4 linked regions of the Drosophila melanogaster genome follow. The protein of the gene in region 1 interacts with the protein of each later gene in a pairwise test. Each region holds a gene or a part of one and is shown on either strand. Other genes may lie near its edges. The genes, in order: AstC-R1, Sar1, bocks and Lcp65Ag3.

Region 1 (4,714 bases):
CTTTTCAGTGCCAACGGAAAAGGATTAAAGCAAACTGTCGGAAATTCAACCAGAAGGATTAAAAGTTTTGCTCAAAAGGCCAAACTAAAGTTTGACTCCGAAGAACGTCGACAGTTGCCATATTTTCTGTGTCACTCTCTTTCCAAAGTTTCTTCTAGATATCCCCCAACTCTTACCATATGTTTGCCAGCTTTTTTTTCACTGTCATCTAACCAAGTCGAACTTTTTTCTAAACGAAAACATCAACTGGCTCCACATGGAAATTATTGCAGCAAATTTCTTTCCAAGTTGGGTGCGAACAAAAACGGAAAATTTCCTGTTCTTCTAATGACCAACAGAGCAAGGGAGATAACTCCGGGTTTGGGCCAGGTGGATAGTTTTCCAAGTGCACGGCAATTAGATTTCGACGCCTGGGGCTTCTTAAGTTGGAGCTCTGAGACGGTGGCAGTGCTGAGATATGATTTATTTACCCAAAAAATGTAGGAGGAAACTAAAGATTGGTATCTGAAACGCAATCACTTTCCAAACTTAATTTAAATATCTGATAAATTTGCAAACTAACTTTGTAAACTTTGGAAAAAATATGTATGAATGATTTATATCGAGTGTGATGTTTGGTAACGAGGCAAGAACATATTTTTAATGTTTTTAAGAATATATATATGATATAGCACAGTCTTGCTATATCATATCCTAAGTAAATTGTGAGAGCATGCATTTCTTGTCCTCCTTTCCATGTCATTACTGATTTCAATTATTGCAAACAACTGTATGCAAAATGCATGCAATTAAGGCTAGAATAATCAATCAGCAATCAAAGCCTTTCCGAATTCAAGCTAATACACGTACATTTGCAACTATAATTATAACATTGACTGTCCCAATACCGATATAATTTTAAATGCAGTGCCATACCTGAACTACGAAACAATTGTGCCGAAAATAATATGTTATGCAAACACATTTGTGTTATTGGAATTTGGTAAAAGTATAAATAACACATTACGTATACGGCCGGTAAGCCATCCCATAAACGATTTTGAACATTTTAATTATAAGGAATTATAAATCTGATAAAATAAGGGTATATGCTCGCTAATATATGTTAAATTTAGAGTAATTAAATTTAGGTCCAAAATAACTGGAAATAATTTTTATAACAGCATGATACCAAAGGAAGGTAAAACTTTTTAAAATTTCTTGTTTTAGCATGAGATAGATAACACATGGAAGTAGTTTTGATTAACCTATAGCGACAACACATCTCAATATTATACTTTGATAATCCTTGTTCTTATATCCTTCTAAATGGCACCAGTAGAATCAACAAGCACTTGCCCAAAATGGCAACAGAACTGCAAGCGCTAACATTCGACTGTTGTTGGCCAACGAAAGTGAGAGTTCGTATAAGAGAGAAAGTGTCGGCGGGAGAGTCTCCCTCACCGCGTGCTCTCCCGACCAACTGTTAATTGAGGAAAATTGCAGCTGGGAAAACGGCAGCAGACCGCAACACGCATCAGGCATCAGGCCAATCGGGCGACGAACCTGAAAGCCGAGCACCGAGCGCAATTGTGGATCCGAGCGACTCTGCAGTCGGAAAACTCGCATCGGAAAATTCGCATCGGAAAACTCGCATGCACCATAACAAAATTCGCCGGCAAATGCGGCGCGCAGTATGCAAAACAACACCGGAACGTGCAGTTCAGTCACTGTATCTGAATCTAAAATAATAATATAAAACCAAACTACGAGCAAACCCAGGGTAAAGTAAACAAAAACTTCGCCAGCGCCAAAGACCAAATTCGATGAACGTGCGCGAAAAACTCAAACCAAATAGGGTGAGAGTGGCGAAAAAGTTGGGCGGGTGATAGATAACCCCCGGGGGCTTTTCCTGCTGCCTGCATCCAATCCAAATTAGCGGCCAAAAACGCAAGGAAAATAAACAAATAATTTTACTACCAGCCGCCGTCGAATCACAAATAAATCCGACGTAGAGTGAAAAATAACATTAGCGTCGCAATCCGAGGAATTGCAGAAACGCTTGCCAAATATTTTGAAAACCCCGAAAAGTGCGTGGTGTGCCATTTTATCGGATTCGAAAGGATGAGTGGCTAGATGACACAATATATTCAAGTGGTAAGCAAAATGTGCCTCGAGGAGCATCGAACGGGTTGCCTTGTGTGCACATCTAAAACGATTGGGTGCTATCTATCTCCAATGTGATTAGAAATATGTATGTACTATATAGTAAATAAAAAATAAGCTCTCCTCATCTACATATAAATATAATCCTAATTCTAGTTTTTGAACTTAAATTAAATATAAATATAGTTTAACTTGAAGGGTTTGCAATACTTTCGCTCTGTGCTTGGGTTTTCCATTTTCAACGTTCAAATGTTTGTGTGCGTTGAAATTTATCAGATAACTGAAATTCTGTGCGAATAGCAATTTGTAACTGTTGAATGTCTTGCGTTGAGGGAAAGAGGTTGGTCTTCCTACGAGGCGATGGGATGGGTTGAGGAACGAGGATGCCCGATGATGTGGAAACTGAGAAGGGCTGACCATCGACGGCAGCCGCAGTAAACCAGAAAGGATTTTGGGGAAACGAAACAAAATTTGACAAATTAGGGAATGCTGGAATGGTCGTAAATGTTATTCAGAGAAGTGCTATGCTGAGAATAAATGCAGAAATTGTTACGGAGACATGTTGATTAATTCGTTATGTGAGATGTGCAGAATAAAAATGCCAATTTAAGAAAAGAAATGCCAAGGCCACAAGTAATTTTCTTAATAAATATCCTGCATACATATTAAAGTGCAGCAGAAATTATTTGTTATTGGCTCATTACTCCTAGGGGTGTGGAATTTTGTAAACTTGATTTAATTGTAAGTAATTCCCATTTTATTATGAGAAAGTTAACCAAGTGGTTCAGAACCAAAGCTATGAGCTACTTACAATTTTTATAGAAGCCCTCTATGTTGTTCAGCTATGAAACTCAAGTTCCTTTAGCCTCCGTAGTTCCCCCTTCACACCAGATAACCCGGCGAATGAGCTCATCCAGCTAAGTAAAGTCCACTAAAACCGAACACCCCCTCCCCGCAAGACCAACTAAAAGGCACAAGGAGGCGGAGATAGCCACTGCCACCCCATGACCATAAAGCCCAATCAAAAGGCCGTTGCACTCGCTGACTAACGGACTAACTGAGTGAATGACGTGCCCTGGCCCAATCCTTCAGTCAATCGGTTTGATGGCCTGAGTCCGAATGTGGAGCTAGAAGCAGCACGGGAAGACAACGCAAACAGCAGGCGAAAGTGAAGGAGCAAGTCACGGAGGAGGAGCAAACGAAGCGTTTCAGCAGCTGCTGCTGCGACTCTGCAACTCGGGGCGTGTAATTTGTCAGACAGATTTCTTTTAGCGCCAGGACACAACCCCTCCCATCCAATCCAATCCAATGCTTCCTACACACCCACACTCAGCAATTGCCCACCCACAAAAAATACCGCCCACGTCATTGCAACAAAACTGCTTCCTTCCTGACTTTTTTGGCCATGCTCTTTGAAACTGAACTGGGCGTCCGACGAGGCTGGGATTGCTCTTACAAATCAGATATTCCCTTTAATTATATAATTTACAAATCTTTGTTCGTGAGTTTATACATTACATACATAAAATCGGAAGTGTTTTAATTTGCTTTTACTTTTGCATTTAAAAATGAATTATAATCAAGTTGATATAGTATGCAATTTTTTAGCTTGAAACTATAAATTGTACACTTTTAAATCCGTTTTATTTTATAATTTTAAATCAAGGATCTTAACAGAATAGACATTAAAAATTGTAGTCTTTCATTATAGGTTTGCACCATTGGTGACATATTTTGTCAATGTTTCTGATACCAAGTAGCATTTGGCAAAAATGTGGTTAAGATAAGAAAAAATGTATAAAACACCCCGGACTTTTATTAAAACCCATTGAATAAGTGAAAATGGGAACAGTCTGTGCAAAGGTATTGAAAAAGGAAGGGAAAGGAACGAGCCAGACATTGACATTTCAGTGCAAATGAAGTGATAAAACGTAAAGGCAAAGCGGCGTCAGCTAGAAAATTGCCAAAGTGGGTAAAGGAAGTGTAGGGAAAAGTGTGGAAGAGAGAGACAGACATAGTTGGGGAGAAAGAGACGGACGACTGAGCTAGATAGAGAGGGCCTGGCAGACAAAGCGCGTCGAAAATGCGTCTAATTTGATGGAAGCGATGCATGCCTTAACCTTTCGTCGGCGTCAGGCAAACAGACAGCAGCAACAACGAACACAACGATGACAGGCACCAAATGATAGCATTTCCTCCCAACTCAAAGGATCCGACTTAGCCAAGAACAAGGACACTGGCAAGGGAAAGGGAAGGGGAAAGAGTAGGAGAAGGGACCAGCCAACTGGGAGAGGATGAGCACCGGATTCAAATGGCGGAACAAGTGCCAGAGATGCTGATGTGGCGCCTCCTCAGCTGCTGACAACAAATTGATGGCCAAGGATGCACAGAAATTCCTCGGAAATTAGTCAACGCACAAGGGATTCCCACAAACTTCACTTAAAGGGGAAACCGTTCTGAAATATTAGACCGTTGTTAATATCCCAATCCTTCATGCTTTCCCAAAACAAAATTCACTTTCTTTCCTTAATCAGAACGAAAAAATATCCAAAAAAGTCCCTCAAAAATA
Region 2 (6,229 bases), on another chromosome or scaffold:
CGGAGGAGGAGGAGAGCGACGATGGCGGCGATTCCAACACGGACAGCGGCCAGGAGAGTCTGACGGCCAAGAAGAAAAAGAAGCGGCGCATGGCTGGCGGCGGCTCCGGGTCCGGCTCCATGGGCGGATCATCGCGTTCCTGATCCAGGGAGCGGGCCAAGCGCAAGGGCTTGCTCATGCGCCTCTTTCAACGCCAACTGATGCTGCTGAGAGGACTGCCCCGCCGCTGCCGGCTCAGTTAGCACTGAGGTCGCGATCATACTCTGCAGAGTTTTGTGTATTTTTCTACTTGGACCAGCATGTTTGCAGCTCCTGGATCCCGTGCTCGCCCTCATCGAATGCCTGCTCCCTGATTTCAATAGATGCTCCGGACGTGACTCATTAGCGTAAACCCTAAATGCAAATAAATAAATGAATCCAATATGTTTGTACATCGCTGGGTTTCATTCAAGCTCGGCACATAAATCCAATGCAAAACAACAATAGTCACCAATTTATGTATTTTACAAAATTACTTTTCTCCGTTTTATTTAGAATTCTGTCTGCAAACAAAAATGCTTTTTTATATAAATTGCTTTCCCTTTCGTATTGTATAAAAGAAACAAAGTACATCGATGACATGCAACTTAAAATTTTTAGCTAAACTAAGGTGTACCATTTATCGGAGGTCGAATCCTTATAGGGATGTACATAATGTTTTGCGGCCAAAGTAAACTATTTAGGAAATCAATAGCGACATTTACAATTCATAAACTTGAAATAAAGGTAGGTGGCTACATTTTATTGGCGAAACAGCGTTCGTTGAAAGCACATGCTCTTAAATAAATCACCTTTAATTTGCTATAATTTGTTACTCATAATTATTATTAAAAGTTTCCCTTGCGCACTCCGCGCATCCTTCAGCTCCTTACAATGTATCCCGATGTTCCAGATAGAAAAGTTGTCTTCACTTTGATGTTGTGTTCTGTTTTTCCCGCGATTTCTTGTGTGTTACAGATGTACATTGTATGGTTTTCTGTTTTTTTTTTTTTATTATTATGAAATATTTGTAATTGTTTTGTATAAATTAGAAATTGCGCACGCAGCTTCGTTTTGCTTAAGGTCTGACGGTTTGAATTGGGCTGGGTTCACATCCCTTGGGTTCTGTTCTTTCTGCGGTCTCTAATCATTTTTGGAAATTTTGTAGCCAAGTTTTCGGTTTTGAGTGTTGAGTGGTGTTCTTGAAAATATGGTGCTGGTGGTGGTTGCTAATGCTGACTTAATCGATATACTGCGCCAGCCAACGGAAACCCTCGCCGTAGCCCTGTCGCTTCAGCACGGAGCACATGAACAATTCCAGAGGACGGCCGGGCAAATCGGCGCGTGCAACTTTGCCCTGCAAGTCAAATGGATATCAATTATGTAGCAGGAGTAAGGAGGGAGGGAGGGAGGGAGGTGGTTTTGGTGCTCACCTTGCCGGTTGTTAGCTGATACAGTCCGAACACGTTTCTCAGCTCATCCTCGCTAGCCGCGCCGGGCTTATCGATTTTGTTGCCCAATATGAGCACGGGGCAGTTGGACAGCGCCTCATCCGTGAGCAGCGAATCCAGCTCGTTTTTGCTCTCCTGGAAGCGGCCACGGTCCCAGGCGTCTATTAAGAAAACGATGGCGTCCACAGCAGGGAAGTAGTCCTTCCAGACGCGTCGTGCTGCAGAAATAAGTAGATATGTCTCATAAATACAAAAGCAGCAGTTAGTCTTTAGATGGGTTAGTCTTCCGATTTTTGAATCAAGATTTGCAAGGGCACCTTAGTAGTCGCTGCTGTTGACCAACAATCTGTAATTTATATAACATCGCTAGAATAACAAAGCGCAAGTCACTGATATCAGGCACAAATCTGATATCTTTCCGCCGCTAAGAACCTTTCTACTTTAGTGTACCTAGTAGTTCCGAAGCGAAAACGATCGTCACGATGACGAGCTGCCTTAAAATGAGTGCTAGAGCTTCGTTATCAAAACAACTGGATTTCACGATGTTTGATCACTTTTCATAATGTTCATATTTATATACATATATCAACTGCATGTATGCGAGTTTTTCGTTTCTGTTTGTTATCTACATAGAGAATGTTTGCCTTCATAATATTAATAATAAATACGTCGCCTATATGTGCACAGTGGTAAGGAAGATAGTATTTGCGAAAATCAACAAGACACTAATTGCTTTCTAAACATAAATGAACATATTGATTGTATGCAATGGGTTAAATATTCTAGTATTCTGAGGTCTTCATAATCACAGTTGAGATAAGATGATAATTGAGATCTCTGGATGAGCTGCTTGTGACCACTGTGGTGGCATTGCTTCGAGTGTGTGGCGCTGATTGATCGCAACAAATGCTACGAGTGTAAGACGCACTGGCTGTATGGGTGACCTGATGCGCTATATTTCATGCTGATTGTCGTGGATCTGGCGGCTGCGCTTGCTTAGCCCTGCGATATTTGCATACTGGTCTATATTTAGTCGTGGGCACGTACGGAAAATAGCAACGATTTGGATGCACATTCACATTCCCCTGAGCTCTGGTCAAGATTAGGCACTTACCCTGAGTGTGGCCACCCAAGTCGAATGTAGTGAAGCGCATGTTGCCGATGGACAGCTCCTCGGATGCTGCAAGTCAATCATATTAGTTAATTAAAGTCACACACATAACCACTATTTAGTCCATGAAGGAAACTCACTTGGATGCAGTGTGGGCACATGCTGCGCCAGCTTATCATCTTTGAGCATATGCAAGAGTGTGGTTTTGCCAGCATTATCCAGGCCCAGGAACAATAATTTGCCAGACTTTTTCCACAGACCTGAAAACGAGAAAGTGTGTTGAATAGCCTTTTGACTTACGCGTCATCAATTAATATACGCAGCTAAACTAACACTAGTGGCGGCTCACTTGTGTTTGCCCAGCCACAGACAGCCGAATATACATTTGAGGTCGAGACAATAGCTCTTGGACTTCGGGCTAATTATTACCTTTGCTACCCAAAATGTTCGGCTATCATTAACCTGATTAAAGATCAAGCTATAACAAAAATGCGCTTATAACAACTGCTATCAGTTTGGCCTGCACTGTAGAACAGTACTTTTCGTATGGAATAATTTTAACTTTTAGCATTACAAAGCAAATAAAAGTGTAGCAGCCATCTGGAAGCGAGGAAAACCCTATCAAAAATGTCTGCTTAAATAATTGTGGCTGAAGAGTACATGGCTATGCAATCAAAATACCTTTTACAGAAGTGTATATTGTATATGCACCCTAGAGTAATGCATATTCAACGCGCATTTGTTGTGATAGAGAGACCTAATGGAAAGTTATAAGCTTTCGACACCTTATAGACACAGTTTAACCTCTAGATTTCGAGATAATCGCACGTTTAGAGCTATCACCACGACCTCCGCTGTACAGCCGTCGAATTTGGGTTTCTTTTGTGCGGCTGCCTTGTTGGCACTCGTTCAAGAAACGCCGCCCCAAGGCACAAGGTCGGCAATGGCGACGTTGCTTACCCAGGTATCCCAGCACTCCGGTGAACCAGTCCCAGATGAACATCCTGATGGTTTCGTGTGGCTATCGGTTGCGGGTGATTGGCTCCAAGAGCAGCTTGTGTGTGTTTATTGTGGGGGGAAGAGAGCTGCTGGGCTAGACGGCTGCCGGATCGAAAAGAGATATGGCATGGATAATGGGTTAGTGCGCATTTCGACTCAAGTTCAATGTCCAGCCACAGAAACACAATAAGAACAACAGCAGCGGCAGCAACAGCGGCTTGGTGTATAGGAAATCAATTTTACGGCGGCTCAACTTCCGGAACCTTGACACACATACAACAACACGCACACTCGAGCGGCGGGGACCTTGCGGATATAAGGAAGCAAATTCCTCCTGGCGGCGAAACATTCACTTGGGCCCATTATTTAGTTAATTAGGTTAAAACCTGTTCTTTGTCAACTGGGCAGCACTTTCTTTATTTCATTCTTTCTCTGCCTCCTGCCCTCTCGCTCGCTCACTGTCTGTGTGTGTGTGTGAGTGGCACTGGGTGTGCGCGTGTGTGTGCGTGTGCTGCCTGTCTGTGTGCAACTACGTGGTAACATGCATTATATTATACTTTATAATATCATTTCACGTTGGAGCACATTTCGTAATCACACTTTGGACGGCAGGTGCACGCCGATCTAAGCCGCACCCTCGAAAAAAGCATAAAAAGGGCGCAGACATCCGGACTTCCGATTCGAATTCGAATTGAGATTCGGATTTTGCACTACGTGGACGCATTTCGGAATTTAACTGCCCGCGGCTGCGGGTAGCTTGCGTTTGATATGGACTTTTACTTGCGCACTTGCTGTTGCCGCCGCGCGTTCGTATCGGTATTGGCGGCTGGTTACCGTGCGTCTGCTGTGTGTATTAATTGTCAACCTAATTCGCTTTTTCTACCTCACGTTTTTATTGGAGTCAGTTCAGTTTTTTTTAATCATAAGCCCCAGTGTGACCAATAAGCGAAAGCTGTGAAATATCGATGTTTGTTTCGTACCATCGATTTTGGGGGTAGCACGAGTAATCGATGTTTTGGTGGATAACTCTGCTAGAGCGAAGCGAGCCAAATCAAGAGTGGTTGTTGTACTCGCTAGCGATAGCTGTACAGCCCTGGTCTTTTGACTCAATCTGGCAGCCCTACCGCAAGGTGGCAACTCCACTACATGCGCGGGCAATTCCAATTCAAATGAATGAATGTATAAATGCATTCATAATGTTGCCAAACTATTTACACGCATTTAATGTTATATCGATTAGAGAATATGCAAAATATTATAAATGTTTAATTATCGTTTTATTGCATTTTTATGTTATTTGTAATAAGATGTTAATACAGATGTTATCTACAGATAACATCTTAAAGAATATAAAGTGTCGAAACAGTTGCTTGAAATGCAATAATGTAATTTTTTATATTTAAAAATATGTACATTTGTTCTCTTATTACATAGAAGAACATATACAAAATGTACAAATAATATCGTTTTGGGTAAAATGTAATTCTCTTGAAATTCAAACTAAAATTCAATCGACCTTCCGCATCTGCTGCAGGATGATGTCCTCCACCTGGACGCCATCGGGAGTGTTCAGCGCATACAACACGGCCTTGGCCACATCCCTTGCCTGCAGTTTGGGCAGCTCGGCTACCGCCTGCGAGTAAACACTAAGGAAATCCGTGTCTACCATGCCCGGGCAAATGCTCTGCAATGGAGGGATAAAAATGGAGAGGGTAACCAATGAGCAGACGCGTCATGTTTGCCGCATTTCCCGAGGATTAAGATGGAGGATGAGGCGCGCCATGTATGCACTGCATTTAACTTACCGTTAATTTAATATTTAATTTGAGAAAATGTATTTCCTGGCGCACCGTTTGGCAGAGGGCCGTAATTGCATGCTTCGTGGCCGGATAAACGCTGAATAAGGGCACCGGCACTTCCGGAATCCGATGGCCAAGCACGCTGTTGTCAAATGTTGTCCATACACATGTCCAGAGCAGAGCGAAGGAGGAGGCGGAGGAGTAGCATGAGCATCGTCCACATGCCAAGGTATGGCGGTGCGTCGGGGATGGAAAATAAAGACAAAGCGGGGTCACAAACGGCGGGTGTGCGTGGGTAAATAAAGTCAACACAACGGATTTCAAGCACTTAAAACGGCAACAAAAAACAAGTCGCCGTCGAACACCTACGGAAAATGATGGTCAGCAGCTGACGGGACATTTTTGCGTGCATTTTATGCAAACATTGCGTAAACTTCTTTTAATTTTACCCCCACACCTGACGAAAAAGCAAGAAAAGACTTAAAAACTTGTGCTATAATATTTTGATTGAATGCGAAATTTTTGGAAAAATAAGGGAATTATAAGTTACAACTAGTTTTTATATTTGCTACAAGATATTTAATTTAATTAAACTGATATTTTTATGAAGGCATTCATTCGAGTATCCTTTTTTTCGAGTGCATTTGGAAGAGCACGGGGTGGTACTTACGGCTCTGAGCCGGGGGCATTAAATGCAAACAATTGCCAACGTTGCTGCAGATGCTGGGCGGCCGGCATACCCTTGCAGTTTTTAATTAATTAAGTCTTAATATTATTGCACTGACATTAAGCGAAATGCATATGGACGACCGCCCAACTTCCACTGCCCACCTGTCAAGCCCCTTGACACA
Region 3 (4,064 bases), on another chromosome or scaffold:
GGATTACATAAGTAAAATTAAATTAAATCAAAATGGAAATGGAGATGGAAATGGAAATGGCAATGGAAAACGAGCGATGAAAACGAGAAAACAAAAGCGGGCAACAAATTTGATTTTATTAACCTGCGACTGCATTTCAATTTTGGCATTTACAACATTTTCTTGTCGCGTGTGTTGTTTTCGTGCTGATTTATGCCGCTTTTGGGCCAGCCGCGTTTGCAGTGAAAGTTAAGCGGGTTCAACAGCAAAAACAGCTGAAAACAGCAGCCAAAGGTTGTGTCAATGAACTGCGGTGGCGAATTCCCCAATTCCCCCAATTTGGGTTGCCTAATGTCATGGGCATGGGGCTAATCTTTTGTTAACAATTGTGATTTGGTTTATCGATGGAAGGCCTCTCACGTGACTTGGCTATCAAGCAATACCAAATATAGGCAATGACCGACTGAATAGAATGAAATGCCCAACACAAATTATATTGGTAACAATAAATAACATTTGGAGCTACTTGAAATCAGCAAATTCACATGTACAAGCCACTCCAAAAATAGCACCAAATATGTATGTGCCTAAATCACTGATATTAACATTTAGTTTGAAACCCCATTTCTTCCTTGCAACCCCCGATGCTTCTTTTTAGATGAATTCTTAATTATGAGTAAATATATCTTCATGAATACAATTGTTCAAATGCTCTTTGTGAGTACATTCCTTGGAATTCGTTATAAGTGCAACGTAAACAATATTTAAAGAATACCCGGTGGTCGGTCCTATTGGGCATTCTAAGCTGCAGAAGTGTAAAAAGGGTTGGTTTTATTGCTCACCTGGTGTTAATTGTTGCGGCAACAGGTAGTTCTTCTGGTGGAGTAGACTGGTGAACTGGACTGCCGATAAGAAGGAGGCCACGCGCAGAGTTTGAGTTTGGGCAATAGCAATATCGAAATGTAATAAACCAAATACCAGAAAGGCAATTACTCGTTCACTTTCGATTCGATCGGCCGATAAGGAATTTTACAGGGAAAACACGATGTCAACACGTTTAAACAAAGAACAAACGCACTTATTTTCTGTTTGCGCTTAACAAAAAAACAAAAACCCAAATACGAGGATATTTTTTTTTTCGTTTAGTATTTATATCTACTTTGATTCGTTGTTGTTTTTCACGTTTTATGTGTTTGTTTTTGTCCCGCTTGCTCTTTTTTGGGGCGCCTTTCTCGCTCTTGTCCGCTTTAACCGGTTTTTTGGTTTATGTTTATGCTGCTGCTTCTACTGCTGCTGTTGTTGCTGTTTTTGTTTCCCTTGCTCTTGCTTGGCTAAATGGAAAATATGCTGCAATTGCAGCCAGCAAATTGTCGAATGTTTCCAGCCACTTGCTTTGCTACTCGAAATCGATGCCAAAAACTTTAATAACACCCGCGATTGAGGTAAACAAAAGTGTAATAAGCGAAGTGAGGCACACACGCAGGCGCAGAAAAGCAAAAAGGTGAAGAAATATTGGCCGCCAAACAGGTGCAAATGATTCACGATTGTTTTTCCACAATCCACTGTTTATGTTACGATGCTATATCTCCTCAGTTTTCCGCACTGCGACTTGGGGATTTTCTTTGGCTTGGCGAGCGCTTTCCGCGCGGCGATTCGTTTAATTCGAGCGTCTTGTTTGCGATTGAACACCTGTTGCGCGTTCGATTTTCATAAAACTAACTGTGTGACCGTCGGGCGTTAGTTGAAATAAACCATAGCAAGCGTATCCAACCAGGTCTGGCAGCACTGCTGTAAATGTTTAGTTGTAGGCATTTTATAACACTGCACATGAGGCGATTGCACATAAAATATCGAGTTAAGTTTTTCTTCAAGTAGTTTGTTCTTCTGTCTGATGTTAAAAAATTGTTTTTACTTTCGTGCACAGCTCATCCAGCATATGAAATCTAGCTATAGTTTGTCAAACAACATTACTTTAGCAGCAATCGATAGGCGTGCACTTAGATTGAACATTCTATCGCTGCCGTTCCATCACTAATAGACAACATTGTGACGACATTGCTATTTTTGTGTGTTTTGAGTTTCACCACGGCGGAAAATAATGTCGGACCTTTCTTACCTGGACACGTTGGGCAACAAGGAGCTGCTGGCCAAGTGCCTGGAGCACGGCCTGCCCGGTGTTCCCGTGACGGACAGCACCCGCAGCGTCATAATTCGCCGACTAAAGGCCAAAATCACCGGGGTTCCGCTGAACAAAAGCAAATCTGCAAGTAAGAAAGCGATTCCGAGGCGTGAGACCGTACACGGCAGCCAGGTAACGACGCCCACATCGGAGCCAGTGCGTCGTACGCCCGGCAAGAGTGCAGGACGCACTAGCAGCAACAACAACAAGATCAGCGAACAAAGTCGTCGCACAATCGCCTATGGACTAGACAACACCTCGATCTCGGGAAGATCTGTGCAGACTACTACCACGGTGTCGGATATGAGCTCCCAGTCGGAGGACGACGACTCCTACATGGTGGACTCTCCGGTGCCTAATTACTCCAAGGACCAGCAGCCTAGACGTTATGTTTCTCTAGCCAAATCCGGAGTTTTGACCACATCTTACACACGCGAAGTTGACCAGCCGCTGTACGAACAGGAGGATATACCACGCAGCTACACCTACGAAAGACCCCATGTGCCAGCCGCCACTCTTCACGCACTTCCCACATACGAGCCACGCATCGAACCTTCGACATACAGACCCACAGATTTGGGTTTTTCGCGTCCCCTGCTGACTCAAACCAACTTAAACTCAACCAGCTACGAGGAGTCATCTACGTACAATCCAAAACTTTCACCCATTTCGCCAAGAAACACTTTCAGCGGATCCGCTAGGCCTTTTGGTGGCCCAGCACCAGCTCCAGCACCCATTCGCCAGCGACAGAGTGTTCCAGTTAGTGGATCCAATCTGGCCCGTGGTCGCCTGCTCCAGCCGACCACCGCAGTAAACACTCTATATCCACAACTAAATGAATTCTACGATCAGCCGAATGACGCAGGCGAACCCATGGAGACGGAGAGCGAGTCCGAAGTCGAGGAAGTACCCATCAATAGCCATTTCCAAAAGAATCGCTTCTCGCCGCTGGCTAGAAAACCTCTGGTAAGACACCACGATCAGGTTTCGCCTATGGCGCAGTTCCGTGCACTGGCGGTGTCATTGGATCAAAAATATAATCTCAAATTCTACTTAATATTGGTAGTGTCAGTGATGCTGGCCACCATGGTGTACGTGGTATTGACACCCAACGCCTGAGAAGCGTTCATATCGCGGAATACATTTGGTTTTGGTTACTCCACGCATTTCAACCACAGACTACAGCGAAGGAATATTTATGACGACTTTGCACCTTAAGACTACTACTTCAATTCCAAACATGTTCAAAACTAACAAATATTCAACTCAATTTGCCAAGTCTTTAATTGCTTGTTCTCGCATATTGTTTCTTTTTATACATAATTAGAAAAATGTACTACATTATAATTATTGTATTGTATTAAATAAACTAATTAAATGTAAGTGCTCAGTGTGTTTTGTTGCGATTTGTGTTTGTTTGTGGTACTCTCTGACAACGGACCATGGGTTTATTTATGCTTTATGCTACTATTTACACGCCATTTAAATGAACAAAACAGTGTAAAATCGTTAAAGGATATCGGGGATCGCGGCTAGGACATCACAAAGCAAATGGCTGCTGGCTGACTAATTGAAGTGGAACTTGAACTGGAACGGCGACCCGTGTTGGAAGTGTCCAAACGGATGTTCGCCATGGAAGCCGCCACGCTGATTGCTCTCAGGATCTAATGGATCCTCGCCGTTGTCGAATTGACGACGCTTCTCGGGATCCGTGAGAACCTCCTTGGCTGCGGCAATGTCAATAAACTTTTTCTCGGCCACCTTCTTTTCCTCGTCGCGGAAGTTGTCCGGATGCCACTTTTGCGCCGCCTTCCTGTAGGCCTTCACAATCTCCTGTTTGCTGGCGCTACGCTTAACGCCTAATATCTTATAGTAATCCCTGCGCTCTGACTGCTTCTGCAGCTTC
Region 4 (3,075 bases), about 12 Mb from region 1:
CGAAATTAAGTTTTGAATACAATTAGCTTTTGATTAACATATGGGGAAGGTCGTAGTCGAAAAAGAACCGACTGATTATAGATATTCGAAGAATAGAAACTGGTCACAGCGTGTATACGTGACCGCTGCACGATTAAATGTTTGTAAAATACTCTGATATTTGATATAGAATACTCTGATATGTAGAATATTCCATGCTTGTTGGATTGCTGATTGATATTTTCTATTAATAATTAATGTATATACCAATAGTAGTGTACACAAAGCATTTGCTGAGGCTTTACTTATTCAAACATTAGATGATAATATGAGAAATGACAATGGCAAAATCACAATGCACAATAATAAAAAGTTCGAATACAGAACTTTATGCATCTCGACTAGAAGACATCGTTTAAACCTGAGTTTATATGTATATAGCAAATGGTGATCGTGTACTGTTTTTTATACAAATTTTCACCGTTCTATCTGTTTGTTTCAAACAAACATGTTCACGATTAGCTTAATTAACCAATAAGATTTGAGAATTCAAAGGTGATGGCAAGGTAAGGCGTCATTCTGTCTATCAATTGACTGTCGACAAGGTAATTGCATACATTACCATCTGTTGGATATACCTGCATGCACGATTAGTGCAGGGTACTTAGAGTGTTAATCTGTAATTAAAATGTGTTTTATTGAATGTTTGCATTATAGCTGATTTCTTTATTTTTAATTTGTTTTATTATTTTGCATTTTTCGCCGATGAGGACATAATCCAGAGATTTCGTATAAAAGGGCATCAGATGATCGCATCGCAGCTCAGTAAAGTGCAGCTAGCTGTGACGGAGACTCTGAAAAACTAATTCTTTCCGCAATGCAATCGAATTTCATGTGGCTGGTAGCCTTCCTGGCAATTGGTATCTGTTTGGCCTTTCCCGCTGGTGAGGATGCCCAGGCGGAGACCATCAAACTGGAGAGCGAAAACACGGGCGATAAATATTCCTTTGCGTAGGTATTGCCCAGAAATGATTTGGACATAATGCATTTAATTGTAAAATTTTTTAACCTTAAACTGAGATACTATTACTATTTTGCGTAGAAACGGCTTGACTATTGAAACTGATGTATATAAATATGTACACATATATAAACTTTATTTAGTTGCACATGTCTCCCTCACTGCGTTGCAAACTTCTGACTGATATCAGAGGTATAAGCCTCTGCAAGGGCAAAATTAAAGAGGGTAGCTTTGAAATGCTTAGTTGTAACAGGTGTTTAATTATTCGATGTTCCTATATACAATTTCAATCAATAATTAATTTATTAAAAACAATTAACATCGAATTCCAGCTATGAGACGAGCAACGGAATCTCACGCACTGAGACCGGTGAGGTGAAACCTGGAGCCGGCGAAGAGGATGGTTCCTTGTCTGTCCAGGGATCGACCAGCTGGTCAGCTCCAGATGGCAAAAAATACGAGATTAGTTTCACGGCCGACGAAACTGGCTACCATCCCAAGTTCAGGCTAGTAGCCTAGGAGATACCTGGATGTATAATGATTCCGGATGCGAATAAATAAGTTGACTTTATTTATCCAATGTAAAAGATTCGTAGAATTAGAAAAGTAAATAGAAAAAATGTATATATTTGAGGAAGCTCCCGAGTTTTATTGACGTCACTAAGACTGGCTGGATTATTATAAATATAATAAAGCTCAATGAATTGTTAAAAATTTGAATAATGAAATATTTATGAACGCGATTCTTTTTGGACTATAGTGTTATTAAAATTTTATATTAGGCCTTTTAATGCTCCTACTTCAAACGAAAATGAAATCCAAACCAGACATTTCACATTAACATTGATTTTGCTCATTATGTCTTGTACACGTTTGACTAGTTCGGCCGCGCTTTGAATAATCGCCAAGAGGGTGCCATCTATAAAAGGGTTTACGCGGCCGTCCATAGTTACCATTCGACTTGAACTGTTCGATAGCCGCAGATCTAAGCACCAAACAACAATCACCATGAAATTCCTGATTGTCTTCGTCGCCCTCTTCGCCGTGGCTCTGGCTGCTCCTGCCGCTGAGGAACCCACAATCGTGCGCTCTGAATCCGACGTTGGACCCGAAAGCTTCAAATACGAGTAAGTTGCCTATGAGAAATGACCCAAAAGGATACCTAGCTGACACTGACTTCCTTCTTAGCTGGGAAACCTCCGATGGACAGGCTGCTCAAGCTGTAGGTCAGCTGAACGACATTGGAACTGAGAACGAGGCTATCTCTGTGAGTGGATCCTACCGCTTCATTGCTGATGATGGCCAGACCTACCAAGTCAACTACATCGCCGATAAGAACGGATTCCAGCCCGAGGGTGCTCATCTGCCCGTTGCCCCCGTGGCATAAGTGAAGTTGCTTTCACTGTAAGCAGCTTTAAACCCACCAATTCTGCAACACTCTTTGTTATCTTCCCCAACACTTACCTACTTTCGGTTTTCCCTTTTAAAAGGGAAAGAATCCTAAGTTACAGAACGCAGTTTGTTGAATATTAAAAAATGTAGATTTTATATGAATTCGTTTTATTTTAAATGTGCTTTTCGCTCAAAAGGTCGGAAACGTCGTTTTTTTTTAAAGGCGATTATTTGAAAATATTTTGTTAAGTTGTTCAGATAAATAGAACTAGATTCTTATGGCAAACAACGGACCTAATTAAAGGTTTTTTTCCATTAAGCAATTCTTAAGAAGTGTAAATAAGTATTTTGAAAGAATAGGTATTTTTTTCATTTAGAAAATTATTAATTAAAAAAAAAAACATTTTAGAACTGAAAATACAATTTTTTATTATGTATTTTATTACTCTAACCGCTAACATACCCAGTCGTCTTCAGGCTTTATTAGGTGTTCTTATTACATGAACATTATTAAAAAAGAAAAAGTTTTTGGGCCCTTATAATAATATTAAAAAAGAATATATTTTTCCTATTTTTAACTTATCTTAACAAAATCAAACGAAAATTTCCAGTATGCCTTAATAAAATAAAAACAAAAAGTTCTCCCAAATGCATAGTCGGCTTTGCGGATTTAAAGTGCATAG

What was found.
Region 2: the proteins of AstC-R1 (region 1) and Sar1 interact in a two-hybrid assay, tested with the Drosophila melanogaster proteins (one large-scale study listed by BioGRID).
Region 3: the proteins of AstC-R1 (region 1) and bocks interact in a two-hybrid assay, tested with the Drosophila melanogaster proteins (one large-scale study listed by BioGRID).
Region 4: the proteins of AstC-R1 (region 1) and Lcp65Ag3 interact in a two-hybrid assay, tested with the Drosophila melanogaster proteins (one large-scale study listed by BioGRID).

The regions. Positions count from the first base shown.
Region 1 is NT_037436.4:18,558,569-18,563,282, forward strand, and holds the start of AstC-R1 (allatostatin C receptor 1), read left to right. Parts: upstream 1-1,689; 5' UTR 1,690-2,136; intron 2,137-4,714.
Region 2 is NT_033777.3:22,354,983-22,361,211, reverse strand, and holds Sar1 (Secretion-associated Ras-related 1), read right to left. Parts: upstream 4,528-6,229; 5' UTR 4,414-4,527; exon of another isoform or gene 4,165-4,413; intron 3,696-4,164; exon of another isoform or gene 3,682-3,695; 5' UTR 3,584-3,681; coding exon 3,541-3,583; intron 2,841-3,540; coding exon 2,721-2,840; intron 2,650-2,720; coding exon 2,584-2,649; intron 1,688-2,583; coding exon 1,452-1,687; intron 1,376-1,451; coding exon 1,259-1,375; 3' UTR 501-1,258; downstream 1-500. Other genes in the region: JMJD6 (jumonji domain containing 6), read left to right, coding at 1-143; rdhB (retinol dehydrogenase B), read right to left, coding at 5,087-5,263, 5,385-5,520.
Region 3 is NT_033777.3:9,588,943-9,593,006, reverse strand, and holds bocks (bocksbeutel), read left to right. Parts: upstream 1-2,004; 5' UTR 2,005-2,077; coding exon 2,078-3,277; 3' UTR 3,278-3,539; downstream 3,540-4,064. Other genes in the region: P58IPK, read right to left, coding at 3,725-4,064. UniProt on the Drosophila melanogaster protein: Inner nuclear membrane protein. May have a role in maintaining the structural integrity of the nuclear lamina. During pupal development, plays essential and redundant functions with the other LEM domain proteins; MAN1 and Ote.
Region 4 is NT_037436.4:6,129,863-6,132,937, reverse strand, and holds Lcp65Ag3 (larval cuticle protein), read left to right. Parts: upstream 1-1,948; 5' UTR 1,949-2,008; coding exon 2,009-2,127; exon of another isoform or gene 2,128-2,188; coding exon 2,189-2,387; 3' UTR 2,388-2,552; downstream 2,553-3,075. Other genes in the region: Cpr65Au (cuticular protein 65Au), read left to right, coding at 857-990, 1,333-1,519.